Linked DNA regions of Arabidopsis thaliana. The protein of the gene in region 1 interacts with the protein of each later gene in a biochemical or structural test. Each region holds a gene or a part of one and is shown on either strand. Other genes may lie near its edges.

Evidence for each region. The genes of interacting proteins can lie anywhere in the genome.
Region 2: the proteins of AGL24 (region 1) and SAP18 form a complex in vitro, tested with the Arabidopsis thaliana proteins (one study listed by BioGRID).
Region 3: the proteins of AGL24 (region 1) and MRLK form a complex in vitro, tested with the Arabidopsis thaliana proteins (one study listed by BioGRID).

What each region holds. Positions count from the first base shown.
Region 1 is NC_003075.7:12,670,377-12,675,953, reverse strand, and holds AGL24 (AGAMOUS-like 24), read left to right. Parts: upstream 1-1,847; 5' UTR 1,848-2,037; intron 2,038-2,269; 5' UTR 2,270-2,308; coding exon 2,309-2,490; intron 2,491-3,204; coding exon 3,205-3,286; intron 3,287-3,553; coding exon 3,554-3,615; intron 3,616-4,081; coding exon 4,082-4,181; intron 4,182-4,292; coding exon 4,293-4,334; intron 4,335-4,418; coding exon 4,419-4,460; intron 4,461-4,559; coding exon 4,560-4,693; intron 4,694-4,775; coding exon 4,776-4,794; 3' UTR 4,795-5,057; downstream 5,058-5,577. Other genes in the region: AT4G24550 (Clathrin adaptor complexes medium subunit family protein), read right to left, coding at 21-81. UniProt on the Arabidopsis thaliana protein: Transcription activator that mediates floral transition in response to vernalization. Promotes inflorescence fate in apical meristems. Acts in a dosage-dependent manner. Probably involved in the transduction of RLK-mediated signaling (e.g. IMK3 pathway).
Region 2 is NC_003071.7:18,799,002-18,803,049, reverse strand, and holds SAP18 (SIN3 associated polypeptide P18), read left to right. Parts: upstream 1-1,666; 5' UTR 1,667-1,726; coding exon 1,727-1,837; intron 1,838-1,951; coding exon 1,952-1,984; intron 1,985-2,096; coding exon 2,097-2,207; intron 2,208-2,449; coding exon 2,450-2,545; intron 2,546-2,942; coding exon 2,943-3,017; intron 3,018-3,136; coding exon 3,137-3,169; 3' UTR 3,170-3,522; downstream 3,523-4,048. UniProt on the Arabidopsis thaliana protein: Links the histone deacetylase complex to transcriptional repressors bound to chromatin. Involved in the tethering of the SIN3 complex to core histone proteins.
Region 3 is NC_003074.8:20,816,395-20,821,524, reverse strand, and holds MRLK (meristematic receptor-like kinase), read left to right. Parts: upstream 1-2,007; coding exon 2,008-2,738; coding exon of another isoform or gene 2,739-2,850; coding exon 2,851-3,664; coding exon of another isoform or gene 3,665-3,733; intron 3,734-3,822; coding exon of another isoform or gene 3,823-4,451; 3' UTR 4,452-4,604; downstream 4,605-5,130. UniProt on the Arabidopsis thaliana protein: Can phosphorylate AGL24.

The DNA of each region.
Region 1 (5,577 bases):
GATCGAGAAAGAGAGCTTACAGTCACGGAAGACGATGTTATCTCCTCGCTGAGATAAGACGAAGAATTGGGAGATCATCATCGTTCCTTATAGCGGTGGATTCCGACTGTTTCACCGCGAGTTTGGTTAAGTCTACTGATCGCCGATCGGTCTCGTCTTTTTGTGTGTCTGGTGGTGAGGTGGTTCACGTTTTACCATTTGCCGTCGTTATCGTGAAGCTTCTTCATGAGACGGAGGGTTCTGTGTTTTTGTGAATTATGATTTCTTGTTCTTATATGGGCCTATTTTTAAGACATCAATATGGCCCAAATTTCGAACTTGTTATGAGTTTAAGGAAATAAGTAGTAAGTACTATAAATGATGGTTCGATCTCGGAGGAGAAAAAAAAAAACATTGTTTACGAGGAAGCAAAATGTGAGTTGATATAAAGGGTACAACACATAATTTATTTTTGGAAGTCAAAACTTTGAGGATTAAGCTGACAACGAAGGTTAGTGAAGACTTTCGGGATCGAGCAATCGGGAGATATACATGAGCCTAGAGGGCTGACAAGATGACCAAGCATTCCAAATGAAAGGCTTAAGATTTTTCTTTTTCTAAACTCAAGTAAGAAACACAAGATATATGAAAGGGTAACAAGGGTCAACAACAAGTCTAAGCTTTTTAAACGTGTTAGATGATTCTTCTTGAACACTATTACAATTACTGTTTAGTTTCACATTTATATGACCTTGGGAGTCTTCTAGCTCGTCCCAAATATATTTTCAACATATTACTATAAGATCCTAAAGACCAATAACATTGATCTACACCAAAAACTCTCACTTTCTGATTTTGCACTCGCTTTTTTTCCTCCCATAAACAAAACCAAAGGCTTACAATACTAAATCTGTCTCACATTCTTAGTGCTTATTTGTTTTAGTCATAAAGAACTTAATCTTATACAGATTGAAGTCTTAAAGTCATCTATATTACTTTTCACATGTATCATTATGAGATGGTACGTTTCCCACGAATTTTATCAGTTTAGTTTAATTTTCAGTTGTACTTTGGGAGAAAAAATTTACAAGATACTTGTCGGCCATGATATCACCCTAGAGTTACCGGAGTCCGGTGATATATCATTTCTAATTAGGGTTAAAACTTAAAAGGGTATAAATGGCTGATCAAACCCAAAAATAAAAGATAATGATGACGGTGGGAGACGAGTGATCTTATCAGGTGTCGCATCTAGCATATATAGGTGAAAGACTATAAAAAAGACATGAAATATTTAATAGACACAACTTTTGTAATAAACCAAAACCAAAAAGGTAGATGAACTGATGAACAGCATCTTCTAATTACGAATAAAAAAAGTAACCAAACTTTCTTTCCATTAGAATTGGTACGTAGTTCCTTGTGTATTGTGATTTCTTTCATTTTCCAATTATGTTTTTTTATTTTATCATGTTACATTTTTGATAGTGGGTAACTTTTGTATCATTTTATTTGACCTAGCCATATATAAATCTATTAACTTATACGGAGTAGTATTTCACGTCATTTATTTTTATTTTGTTTTTAGATGGGAAGTTATTCAAAACTAGACTAAAACAGTAAAACTAGGAAACCCGCTACTGAATAAAGTTACAATTCCACATTATTCCATGACAGACTAATTGAATTAGAAGGTTAGGTAAATTATTAAATCATAACTGTAGCAGTCTCTTCGTCTGGCAGCTCAGTCAGACAAAACACAAAGTGTGTTTATGTGTTATTTTTAATGATTATAGTTTGGGAAAAAGACATAATCAAAAGGGATACAAAACATATGGCCCATTGATAAGTATAGATCACTGTTTAGCTAAAAAAAGCAGACTCTTTTTTCCAATCTTGAACACAAACACAGTCACCATCTCTCTCTCTCTTTCTCTCTCACTCACACATTAGGGAGTAAACAGCTACCAGAAAAACCTTTTTTATCTTCTCACAAATTTAATAAAGTGGGTGCTGAGATTGAATAACGTAATCCAAGATCCTCCAACTCACAGAAAGGTAAAAGCTGTGAATCTGTGTTCTTTCTTCTTAAGCAAAGTGTTTGATGAATTCATCTAGTCCTGTCCATTCTTTTGCTTCTCATGGTTTATGGATCTGATCTCTCTTTCTCTCTCTCTCTAGCCATTAGGGTTTCCTAAGAATATTATATAAACTCTCTTTAGCTAACACCGTTCCAATTGGTTTCTTTCTTTGTTCTTGGTCTAAAATCTAAATGGTGTTATGGGTATAGGCAGATTCAAGAACAGTAGTGAAGGAGAGATCTGGTAAAATGGCGAGAGAGAAGATAAGGATAAAGAAGATTGATAACATAACAGCGAGACAAGTTACTTTCTCAAAGAGAAGAAGAGGAATCTTCAAGAAAGCCGATGAACTTTCAGTTCTTTGCGATGCTGATGTTGCTCTCATCATCTTCTCTGCCACCGGAAAGCTCTTCGAGTTCTCCAGCTCAAGGTATATTCTATCTTTTTGTTAGTAGTTGTCTTATTTTTTTCAATCCATGTTTGTGTTTTTGAGAATATGGTTGGATAAATATATTAAGATATGTATTTAAATGAGATTTTTATTTTCTCGTTTACTCTCTAAAGTTAATTATCAGTAGGCTCGGAGATCTCATGTACGGCATAATTTGATGACCTAAATTATTATACTTTAAAGTATAGGATTGATGTTTTATTACTTTTATGTATAACACATCATGTATTTAATTCCGTTTAACATAATATGGGTTTTTAACGTGTAATTTTTCAATCATTTTCATTTAGACTCATGGTTAAGATTTCTGTACTGGGAAATAAGAGAGCAGAATATTATAGTGTGATTTTTGTTAATTAGGAAAGCATATGTATATATGGATACATAGTACTTACCACAATTAGAATGAATTTCTTTTCCCTTTTTTCATTTGACTTTGTGTATTACAAAAGTCTTTGACACTGTCACTTGGTATGATTGGGGATTAATTCTTAACCACTCGTTTAGTTTATCTTGGGAAGCATTACCATAATTGGGAAACGAGTCATCTGTCTGTATCGTGATGGCTACTTCTGATTACTTTTCTTTTATTATAACCAAAAAGGCTTCTAATGTACTTAATTAATTTTACAAATGTAATATGGACGAAGGAAATGTTTATAAGAAAGATGGATTGTTTGTTGAAACGTGTAGAATGAGAGACATATTGGGAAGGTATAGTCTTCATGCAAGTAACATCAACAAATTGATGGATCCACCTTCTACTCATCTCCGGGTATTTTCGATATCACTTACTCTTTTTTTTTTTTGTGGATTTTAAACTCTCTGCTCTTTTTACCAAACCCTTCTCTTTTTATCAAACCCTTCTCTCTATAATATTATCCGATGTTCACTTTGTTACACGTGTTTGTTATAATTTTTAGCTGTAAGTCTAAATATAGAAACATTGAGTGGCATATAATCATTAATCTTGAAGCATCTAATTAATTGGTTTTACATATTAATAGCAGAATCCTGAAACTGTTGACTTTGCATCTAGCAGCTTGAGAATTGTAACCTCTCCAGACTAAGTAAGGAAGTCGAAGACAAAACCAAGCAGCTACGGTATGGCTCCATTGATATGTTATGCAGATAAACCTATTTTCATATAGGCTATAGCTGTAAGAGATCATCTATTTCATGTGTGTGGTTTTTTTTTTTATGTTTTTTCAATGATGTGTGCATGCTATTTTTAGGTTTTAGAATCTATTTCATGGAAATTGAAGATATTTCATTTCACGTGTAAGTTCGTCAAGTTGTGGCGTGTGTCTTGGAAATTGATGTTTTGTTTGTAGATTTTAAGAGCTACTTCTAAAATTTACAAGAGTTTTGTAATTTTCAATTATGGCCCATTATTCTCATTAATTCATTAAAAAAATTATATACATTACTATCTATATCTAGCATAGGTAGTTTTTTTTTTCTTTTTCTTTGGTAGACCTACTGAACAAATATCTGATATATCACTGACTGGATAAATATCTATAGAGATATTTTTGATAGAAATGAGTGTTAATTTAACGTAAAACAGGAAACTGAGAGGAGAGGATCTTGATGGATTGAACTTAGAAGAGTTGCAGCGGCTGGAGAAACTACTTGAATCCGGACTTAGCCGTGTGTCTGAAAAGAAGGTTTACTACTATACATAAACTAATAGCATGCATATTTTCCTTAACGTGGCATATAAATAATAAGCTGTACATATATAAAAGTTTGACTTTGTTGTTGTTATTGGTAAATAGGGCGAGTGTGTGATGAGCCAAATTTTCTCACTTGAGAAACGGGTTAGTAGTTAGTACATACAATTCGTATAACTAATGGATCATAAGCCTATCTATAGCTAGTGACTTTCTTAATAAGTGAAACAGGGATCGGAATTGGTGGATGAGAATAAGAGACTGAGGGATAAAGTACGGCTCTAAACCCTTATAGATATCATGGAATAACCTTAATCTATTTTTTTATGTATAAGAAAATATGATGAGGGAACGTATATTATATATCGGCAGCTAGAGACGTTGGAAAGGGCAAAACTGACGACGCTTAAAGAGGCTTTGGAGACAGAGTCGGTGACCACAAATGTGTCAAGCTACGACAGTGGAACTCCCCTTGAGGATGACTCCGACACTTCCCTGAAGCTTGGGTATAATTTGTTTAACTGAACATATTTCAAACTTTTTGTTGACATTTTGTATGTGGATGTTTACTAACTGTTTGTTGGTTAGGCTTCCATCTTGGGAATGAATCTGAGAGAGAGAAAGATCCAGCAGAGTTGACTTCGATGGAAGCCCACAAATATTAAGTCTACCTTTTCCCTTTCTTTTCTTTGAATAAGTGTTGAAAAAGAATTGAGATGGGAAGGATGAATTCTCATTGCATTGCAGAGAAGCAAGTTTCAGATATTGTACGTGTTATTGGTCTTTATAACTATTTTGCACCAAAGGGATTCTTCACATCACGGACAAATAATAATTTTAACACTAATGAAACAAGTAAATATAGTGAAACGATAGGTTTTCTATAGTGATTCTTTACATTAACAACAATGAAACAATAAATATAATATTGGAGAGGGGTGTGAAAGAACAAATATGTTAATTAATTTCTACAAATGTTTTCACCTCCTTTCTCGATTCATATAAAACAAAGGTAAGTCTTTGTTCCTTACCTTCACTCTCTAGAAAAGATTTTTTTGGCCAAAAATATGTATTCACGCAATCAGCAGAACAAAAACCTCGGAAGATCACGTCCAACGAAGGACCTTTAGGCTTAGGGGTAACGTCATGTCTTCCACTTTTGAGCAACCTTGCAAACCATCAACGAAGTCTTTCATGTGCATTTTATTCAACAATGGAGTTTTGTAAGAAGGAACTATTGAAAAAACTAATGGAACTAAGGTGATCTAGATAGTGAACTTAGCTTTTCCCAAACTTTTCTTTATGCACTACAAAATTTCAATAAATTAAGTTTTTAGAAAAGGTTCTCAAGTGAAGTTAGAATTTTATAACTCAAACAATATTCATGTAC
Region 2 (4,048 bases), on another chromosome or scaffold:
AAACTTGGAAGTTAAATAGGGGACATTTCACTTTTTCTACAAATTTTTTCGACAGTTCAATGGAAAACGTCAAGTTAATTTTCGGCTAATGAGATATTGAAGCTCAATGGAGTTAATTAACAGATCATAAATGAAACACGTGTAAGGGAATCTGCTACTCTTTTGTATTGTAGGCCTTAACTTTTTTTATCGATCAGTCGGCGTGTCAGTGTCTTGTGGTCTTAAGGAAAAATATCCGAACCTCATCATCTCCACGAGTTAAATAGTATATATCCTTCTTCTTCGTACGAGGTTAAGACAACTAAAATCTTAAAAAATAAATTAAATACTTAAAATCAATGAATCGTTTCATATATATACATATATATATATATAATATTTATGTGCTTCGATTAATTAGTACATGTAACTATTTTACGAACGTTTAGTTATCGCCCATTTGCACATAAGTTTACAAACAAACATAGAATCATCACATTATATATTGTGCAAAATTCAAATACAAGATGATAAATCTTTACATCTTCAACTACAAACACGATATATGATATCAAGTTATCAACCAATCAAGAGCTGTAATCTAGTAGTTTTTTATTTTTTGTTAAAAAGTTGTAATCTAGTAGTTTCATTTTCATCTATCTTTTTACATTATAGAAAAATGAAAGTATAGAAAAATGAAAGCTTATCAAAAGTTAGTGGGCTACATCTACATTATATTAAAAAAATATATATATATATATATATATATATATATATATATATATATATCAATAACTAGATCGGACAGTGACCAAACCAATCTCGTTGTGTCCAATCCAAGAAAATAACAAAGGAAAGTCGTACGTTTGATGATATAAAAACCTTTTTATGTTTGGACGAGTTTCATAGAACATGGTGGACAAAATTATAGTACTATATACTATTTAGTATCTCCTTTTGAAAAACAGTAAGCCATGTAAATGAATTTGTACAATTAACAGCTATTTAAAAAGCAAAAAAAAAAACAGTGAATGTTTATTTACAAAGTTCCGAAGGGAAGAGGTTGTGGTAGTGGTTAGGGGCATGCCAAATACGGAAAGGGAGGCAAAGAAGATCGGGTAGTCTTCATAATTTCATACTTTTCACTTTGTAGTAATCTTTCCTTTTCTTTTTTAATTTCATCACCAATGTTTCTTTGTTCAAATTCATATCCACACACTCTTTTGGAAATGGCACTGCAGCTTCATGTGAGGTGTGGGGTCATTGCGCCTTATCGTCTGAAAATGTTACCCTCTTGACATTCAATGACCCCATTTTCTTATTTTCCATAATTTCTTTTACCATTTTACTATAACAAGAATGATGCAAAAGGAATAGGCAAAAAACAGCATATTATTTTTTAGTGGGATCCTAGTAGGTCACTTGAAGTCTCTATGCATTGATTATGGATTGCTATATTTGTCTCTCTTTTTATTTTTGAATTTCGAGTTAGTGATCTTCAATGTGTGTTTCAAATATAGATATTCAAAGGTTATAAACCAAGAAAAGAAAAAGTAGAAAAAAAATATATATATTTCAAATCTTTTAAACGGACCATTGGCAACAAAATCTATAAACGAGTTAGGCCCAAATTGTTGTACAAAAGGCCCATTAGGTTAAATAAGTATGGGCCTAAAGCGGTCCGATCAATCTCTGTGCCATTACCTTCTTCTTCGTCGTAGTGATTTCTCTCGAGAGAAAAAGAGAGATGGCTGAAGCAGCGAGAAGACAAGGTGGTGGGAGACCATTACCGCCACCTCCGAGAGGCGTTAACCAACAACCTCCTCGCCCTAAACCTGAACCTGTCGATCGTGAAAAGGTTTGTGTTCGATTTCATTATTCGCGAATCGTTGAATCATCATCCTTTAGGGTTTCCTTTTAGGGTTTTTATCTGTACTTATTGATTTCTTTATCTTTAACCTTCGAATCGCAGACATGTCCCCTTCTTCTTCGTGTTTTCACCAAGGTACTCTTCTTCACTGATTTTACTGAATGCAAGTTTAATCACTGGAGAACTGGCTATGTTTGTTTCTGAATTAGTCTGCAAATTAGGATTAATTGGGTAGGTTTGATTGCAGAGTGGTGGTCATCATACTAGTGAAGATTATGCTGTGAGAGGCAAAGAACCAAAGGATGAAGTTCAAATCTACACTTGGAAAGATGCCAGTCTTCGCGAGCTAACAGATTTGGTATGTCTTCTACCATTAAGATTTAGATTGGGTGCTTGAGACAACAATAAAGCAGCTTGCTTTGAGAACTTTTCTTGTGTAGTTTTGTTTTTACAAATATGACGGATTTTCAGCTAAAGGACTCACTTTGTTTTTACTGCTGAGGAGTGCTGATTAAAATTCACATTTTTGGGGGTTTTGTGTAACGTACAAAGGTGATGCTTCTCTCATAAGCACAATGTTAAATCACGTTTTCATTGCAGGTTAAAGAAGTTTCTGTAGCAGCTAGGAGAAGGAATGCTAGATTGTCTTTTGCGTTTGTTTATCCTAACAATAAAGGTGGCTATAATGTGAGAGAGGTAAGATTACGTTCTCTTCACAATCTTGATCAGATAAGTTGTCACCGTAGCCACGCATGATCATTGATGCATTCTAGAGTTTCTGTGTTTTCCCCTGCCACACCTCTTTGTCGCACATGTAGCTACCAGTATCATTCGGAGTTTTGTCAACAATGTTTCTCTTGTACATGTCTTTCGCTTATTGACAACTCATCTTCTCATGGTTATTGATTTTTGAAACTTCAGAGAGACCACATAATCATAGCTAGTTACTACAGAATGAAGTAATTTGATTGAATGGATGCTTTCAGATTCAATCGTTATGGCTTTACTTGTTCTCTTGTGATGTTTGCATATGTATTCAAGAACCCATGAGAAGAGTCTGATCTTGTGGTGTTGTTTCTGTTAATTGATAAAGGTTGGGGAGACGATGGCTTATCCAAACCGAAAACAACCAGATGACAGTAAAACGCTTTCCGAACTTCCGTTTGAGGTAAGTTTTTTACATGCATAGAAGATCATCTTGTATGATGATTATATAGTCTATAACATTAATTTTTCATATTCTGTTACCCAAGTAGCTATAACTGAAGTTGATCAATCTATCTGCAGATTGGAGATTATCTGGATGTGGCAATTTACTAGGAGGTTTCTGTTTCTTGTTAAGTGGGATTTGGGTGCGTGCACAATGGAAGAAGTACACATTCATATGGTTGTATCATCTTAAACTTCGTTTAGACATGTTTGTATTTTTTGGATCTAGTCTATGTACTAATGTCTAATGGTTTAGTATGTTATCCTGCTTTTTTTGTTTAACGTGTTTTCTTTTCTAAAGAACCAAAAAAAAGATGGAAGAACTCAAGCCATTTTATATACAAAAAGGTATAAATTTAGACTATCTATAGACTATAGCACATGAATATGTATTAAATTAAGATTTCAACCCAATTTACTTTTATTAGTAGAATTAATACTCGCACTTAACGTCGGAGAAGTAGCTGAGAAAAAGAAATCGTGAAAAAAATGAGAGAAGAGGATGAATTTAGACAACATTAATCATCAAAACTATAGTGATAAACATAGAAGAGTGGGCAATGCATTTCAAATATTCTCAAAAATAAAGATATAGTTATGGAATTATACAAAAGTTTAATAGCAAAATATGAACGTTGCGTTTACGATTCCCTATATTGTTCCAACGTTAAGTTTGATTAGACTTGAAAGTTGAAAGTATAATAAAATTTAAACGTTGAAACGGTAACATTTTATTACCGTTAGAAGATAATATTTTATTACAAAAATTCAGATAAATGGCTCTCTATAAATACTCCCATCTTGGGTCAGAAATCGGAATCCTCTTCATTGGTTCATATTTTACAAAATGTCGAGAAACAATCTGTTTTTATTTCTTAATTCTGGTTCTTCCACTTGAGTCAAGACCTCATTCAAACAAACATAAAGCATCATCCTTACAAGGTAAAATACTCTGGTCTAAATCCTCTAGTGTTTACCGTTAAATGGTTT
Region 3 (5,130 bases), on another chromosome or scaffold:
CGTTTATTAGGTTAGTGTTCATAGCTGTTGCATTGATGGTCTAGTGGCGAGTTAGTATATATTAATCTAATTTAGTGTTAATAAGTCTCAACTGTGGTTATCTCCTATATTTTCTCATTGGTTTGTGATTTGAAGTAAGTAACTTTCATGCTTTTATGGATGGAATATAGTCATATATATGACTGTCTTGCCTTTCCTAACTAGTATCAATCTGCTAATTTGCTCATAGTTCCCACTTTGTGAAATATAAAACTTATTAACAGATTTGGTGGACATGAGGATGATCCGATTATAAAAGTAGGGCATTGTTAGTTGGTTTATTGTTCACAAAATTAGGCTTTGCTTTGGGGTTCGAGGTTGATGGTTTGAGTACAGTTTAACTTTGAGAGATTGTTTGGACTTTATTTTTCCCGGGGCTAATATCTAATTGCTTTAGCAACAGCTTCATCAGCATGATAAAATTCGCCTTCGGAAACCATCTTGTTTCGATTCCTCCAAACCTTATGGCTTGAGAATTACTAATCTTGTGATATAGTATTTACAATACATGACATACCATTTGAGTTCAAGGTAAGAGTGTCTCCAGAATTTTGTTCTTGCAACCACAGGAGTGATATGTCATTATAGACTTCATTATAGAGATGACTTGTTCATAAGAGAAATGGTCAGGTTTGGTATATGTTCAGAAAATGTGTTTGAAGTGAAAAATGTATATGCAAGAATTTTTAAAAAAATTGAAGTTCAAAACCTCCACATCTAGTATCCAAACACTTTAAACACGTGTACCAGCCTTATGTTAAAAAGGGCAAAGATAGATCAGCGTCAACATAATAACCTCGTACGGCACAACCCTTCCCTTCTTTTCTTTGTTTAATTGTAAGCCAGGAAAAGTTTCACTTTCAAGTTTCAAAGTTGTGTGTCTGCTTCTTCTGAAACTGTACTACTTTATTTACTTTCCATTTGCGAGGGCATTTTAGTCAGTAACCATAAATAAAATGGCTTGTTCATTTCCTTTGGGCTTCTTTACAAGATCTAGTGATCCAATGGCTTGTAGGTCCCACAAATATAGCCGTTAGGAGGAGAAGTGAAGGAGCGGAGCGGTTTGTTGTTCGTGTGTCGTGTCCATTAGGCAGCTCCGACGCATTAAACGAAGCTGGTCTGCAAGAATAAAATAAAATTATGTTGTCTGCTTTATTTGTTACTTTATTCGGAAGAACAATACTTTGATCTCTTTCCTTAGATTTGGAATAAAATTAAATAATGTTGACCTCACATACAAACAACTAAGAGCTATAAAAAAAAGATTCCAAGAAAACAACTGGTAAATTTGAATGTAAGTAATATATTACTGGTTCAAATTCGAAGCATGATAGTACTCTTGACAAATCAAAATTTTTGTTTTTGTAATACTAGTAAATTTTTCATCTTTGTCAGAACCAACATGTTTGTATTGTGATTAATGATTTTTTATCGTTTTTTGATACTTAGTTAACAAAATCTACCTTTATGTATTAGTAATTCCAAATTCCCAATGAAATCCATATACTAGTATTTTACTAAACACTGTTAAACAAAATGACATGAGCAAGAGCAACCCATCGAACAAAACAAAGTGTTTTCAAAACACTATTAAACACAAGTAACTAATATGAATAAATGAAACTAGCCGTTGGAGCCCATTTACTAATATTAGGCCAGAACAGAGAGATCCACTGTTCCCACCCCCCAACCTCTTATTACCATCACCTGATCTTTGTCTCCCTTCTCTCTCTTTCTCTCACTTCTCTCTCACTACAAGATAAAAGAACACAGACCAAGATTCTCTCTCTCTCTCTAAGATGGTCACGTGCTCTGTTGTTCTTTTCCAACGAAACCCATCTCTCTCTTTACAAAACTCTTTCAAATCCAAAATCTTTCCCTGTTCCATCCTCATCACAACTACTATTCACCCATAAAGAACTCCAATTATCTTCTTTCTTCTCTCTTCTTCTTCTTCTTCATCTTCTAATGGAGTTTATCACCCAAAACCAAGCTATTACTTCTCTGAGTATGATCAACACCGACATTGATCAACCTAAGGCTTCACTTCGAAGCCGATTTCTCCTTCATCTAATCATATGCCTCCTCTTCTTCGTCCCTCCCTGCTCAAGCCAAGCCTGGGATGGTGTAGTGATAACACAAGCTGATTACCAAGGTCTTCAAGCAGTTAAACAAGAACTGATTGATCCAAGAGGCTTCTTGAGAAGCTGGAACGGTTCTGGATTCAGTGCTTGCTCTGGAGGCTGGGCTGGAATAAAATGTGCTCAAGGTCAAGTCATCGTCATTCAACTTCCATGGAAGAGTCTTGGAGGTAGAATCTCTGAGAAAATCGGACAGCTTCAAGCTCTTCGTAAGCTTAGTCTTCATGACAACAACCTTGGAGGTTCGATTCCAATGTCATTGGGACTCATTCCTAATCTTAGAGGAGTTCAGCTTTTCAACAACCGTCTCACTGGCTCAATCCCTGCTTCTCTCGGTGTATCACATTTCCTTCAAACGCTTGATCTCAGCAATAACTTGCTCTCTGAGATTATTCCACCGAATCTTGCTGACTCTTCTAAGCTTCTTAGGCTTAATCTCAGCTTTAATTCACTGTCTGGTCAAATCCCAGTGAGTCTCTCTCGGTCTTCTTCCCTTCAGTTTCTTGCTCTTGACCATAACAACCTCTCTGGTCCAATCTTAGATACTTGGGGTAGTAAGTCTCTTAATCTCCGTGTCTTATCTCTTGATCACAACTCTCTCTCTGGTCCGTTCCCATTTTCACTCTGCAACTTAACTCAGCTGCAAGATTTTTTCCTTTAGTCATAATAGGATCCGTGGAACCCTACCCTCTGAGCTAAGCAAACTCACTAAGCTTAGAAAAATGGATATTAGTGGTAACAGTGTTAGTGGCCATATCCCTGAAACCCTAGGGAACATTTCTTCTCTTATACATTTGGATTTGTCTCAAAACAAACTCACCGGAGAGATTCCTATTTCGATTTCTGACCTGGAAAGCCTGAACTTCTTCAATGTCTCTTATAACAACTTATCTGGTCCTGTTCCTACTCTCTTGTCCCAAAAGTTCAATTCCTCTTCTTTTGTCGGGAACTCACTGCTTTGCGGATACAGCGTTTCGACACCATGTCCTACTCTTCCTTCACCGTCTCCTGAAAAAGAAAGGAAACCATCCCACAGGAATCTGAGTACCAAAGACATCATCCTCATTGCGTCTGGAGCACTCCTCATAGTTATGCTTATCCTTGTTTGTGTTCTATGTTGCTTGCTGAGGAAGAAAGCCAATGAAACCAAAGCCAAGGGCGGAGAGGCTGGACCTGGAGCTGTAGCCGCAAAGACTGAGAAAGGAGGGGAAGCTGAAGCTGGAGGTGAAACTGGAGGGAAGCTGGTTCATTTTGATGGACCAATGGCGTTTACTGCAGATGATCTTTTGTGTGCAACAGCAGAGATAATGGGGAAAAGCACTTATGGGACTGTGTACAAAGCTACACTTGAAGATGGAAGTCAAGTAGCAGTGAAGAGATTGAGAGAAAGATCACCAAAAGTCAAAAAGAGTTTGAGAATGAGATTAACGTCTTGGGAAGAATCCGGCATCCGAATCTCCTTGCACTCAGAGCTTATTACTTAGGCCCTAAAGGAGAGAAGCTTGTCGTCTTCGATTACATGTCTAGAGGAAGCCTTGCCACGTTTCTCCATGGTAAGTTTGATACTAAAGTCTTAAAGTTAAAGACAATTTTGCTTTACAAGTACCATTTTGTAACTCTGTTTTCATATTTGAAATTGCAGCAAGAGGACCAGATGTACATATCAATTGGCCTACAAGGATGAGCTTAATAAAGGGAATGGCTCGAGGCTTGTTCTACCTTCACACACACGCAAATATCATCCACGGAAACTTAACATCAAGCAATGTGCTTTTGGATGAGAACATAACCGCGAAGATCTCAGATTACGGTCTCTCAAGGCTAATGACAGCAGCAGCAGGATCCAGCGTGATTGCAACAGCTGGTGCGTTAGGTTACAGAGCACCTGAGCTCTCTAAGCTGAAGAAAGCCAACACGAAAACCGATGTGTACAGCCTCGGTGTGATCATATTGGAACTGTTGACTGGGAAATCTCCGAGTGAGGCCTTAAACGGTGTGGATTTGCCTCAATGGGTTGCTACTGCGGTTAAAGAAGAGTGGACTAATGAGGTTTTTGATTTGGAGCTGTTGAATGATGTGAACACAATGGGTGATGAGATTTTGAATACACTGAAACTGGCTTTACATTGTGTTGATGCTACACCATCAACAAGACCTGAAGCTCAACAAGTGATGACACAACTTGGAGAGATTAGACCGGAAGAGACAACAGCAACAACATCAGAACCGTTGATTGATGTCCCTGAAGCTTCTGCTTCCACAAGTCAATAGAAAGAGTGGAGAATTTTTGTAGTGTGGAAATGTTGCAGAGTAGTAGTTGATTTCTTTTGCAATTCTTTAATTCTTCCAAGTTGTTTTTTTGTTCTTTGTTTGTTTCAGTGTTTTGAACCATTTCTTCATCAGTTTATGTTTGTAAATAGTGTCTCTTTCATCAAGTAGTCTCTGTCTTTTGAGCACAGTGAAAAATTTGGGTTTTGAAGAAGGTACTACTAGAAATGAGTTTCACCATCTACAGTAAAAATTTAGGTAAGTTTTAAAGCACCATTTACACCATATACTGAAAAGGAGAGGACATTGAGAAGATTCAAACAACTAACCAAAGTCCAACAAGAATGAAAGTTTAGGTACCTATGTAAAGAATGAAAATGCTCACACATTTGCCAAAACATAAACACATAAGAGTACAAAGATACGCACTAGCCAGAAAAATGTAAACCAGTATATAATCAAAGTTAAAGCAACAGCCAACAAGTGCCAAGATTTCATTTTTAGAAGATGAAATGAAATGGATTTCAAAGATGGAATTCTTTTAATCTCAGGAGAGAAATTTGAGAATTTATAATTTTTCATGACTAATCAAATTGTTAAGGTTCGAGATTATTTAAATCCAATAAAATTTATATTAAAAAAAATTAGTATCACTCATAATAAATACAAGTATTAATAATTG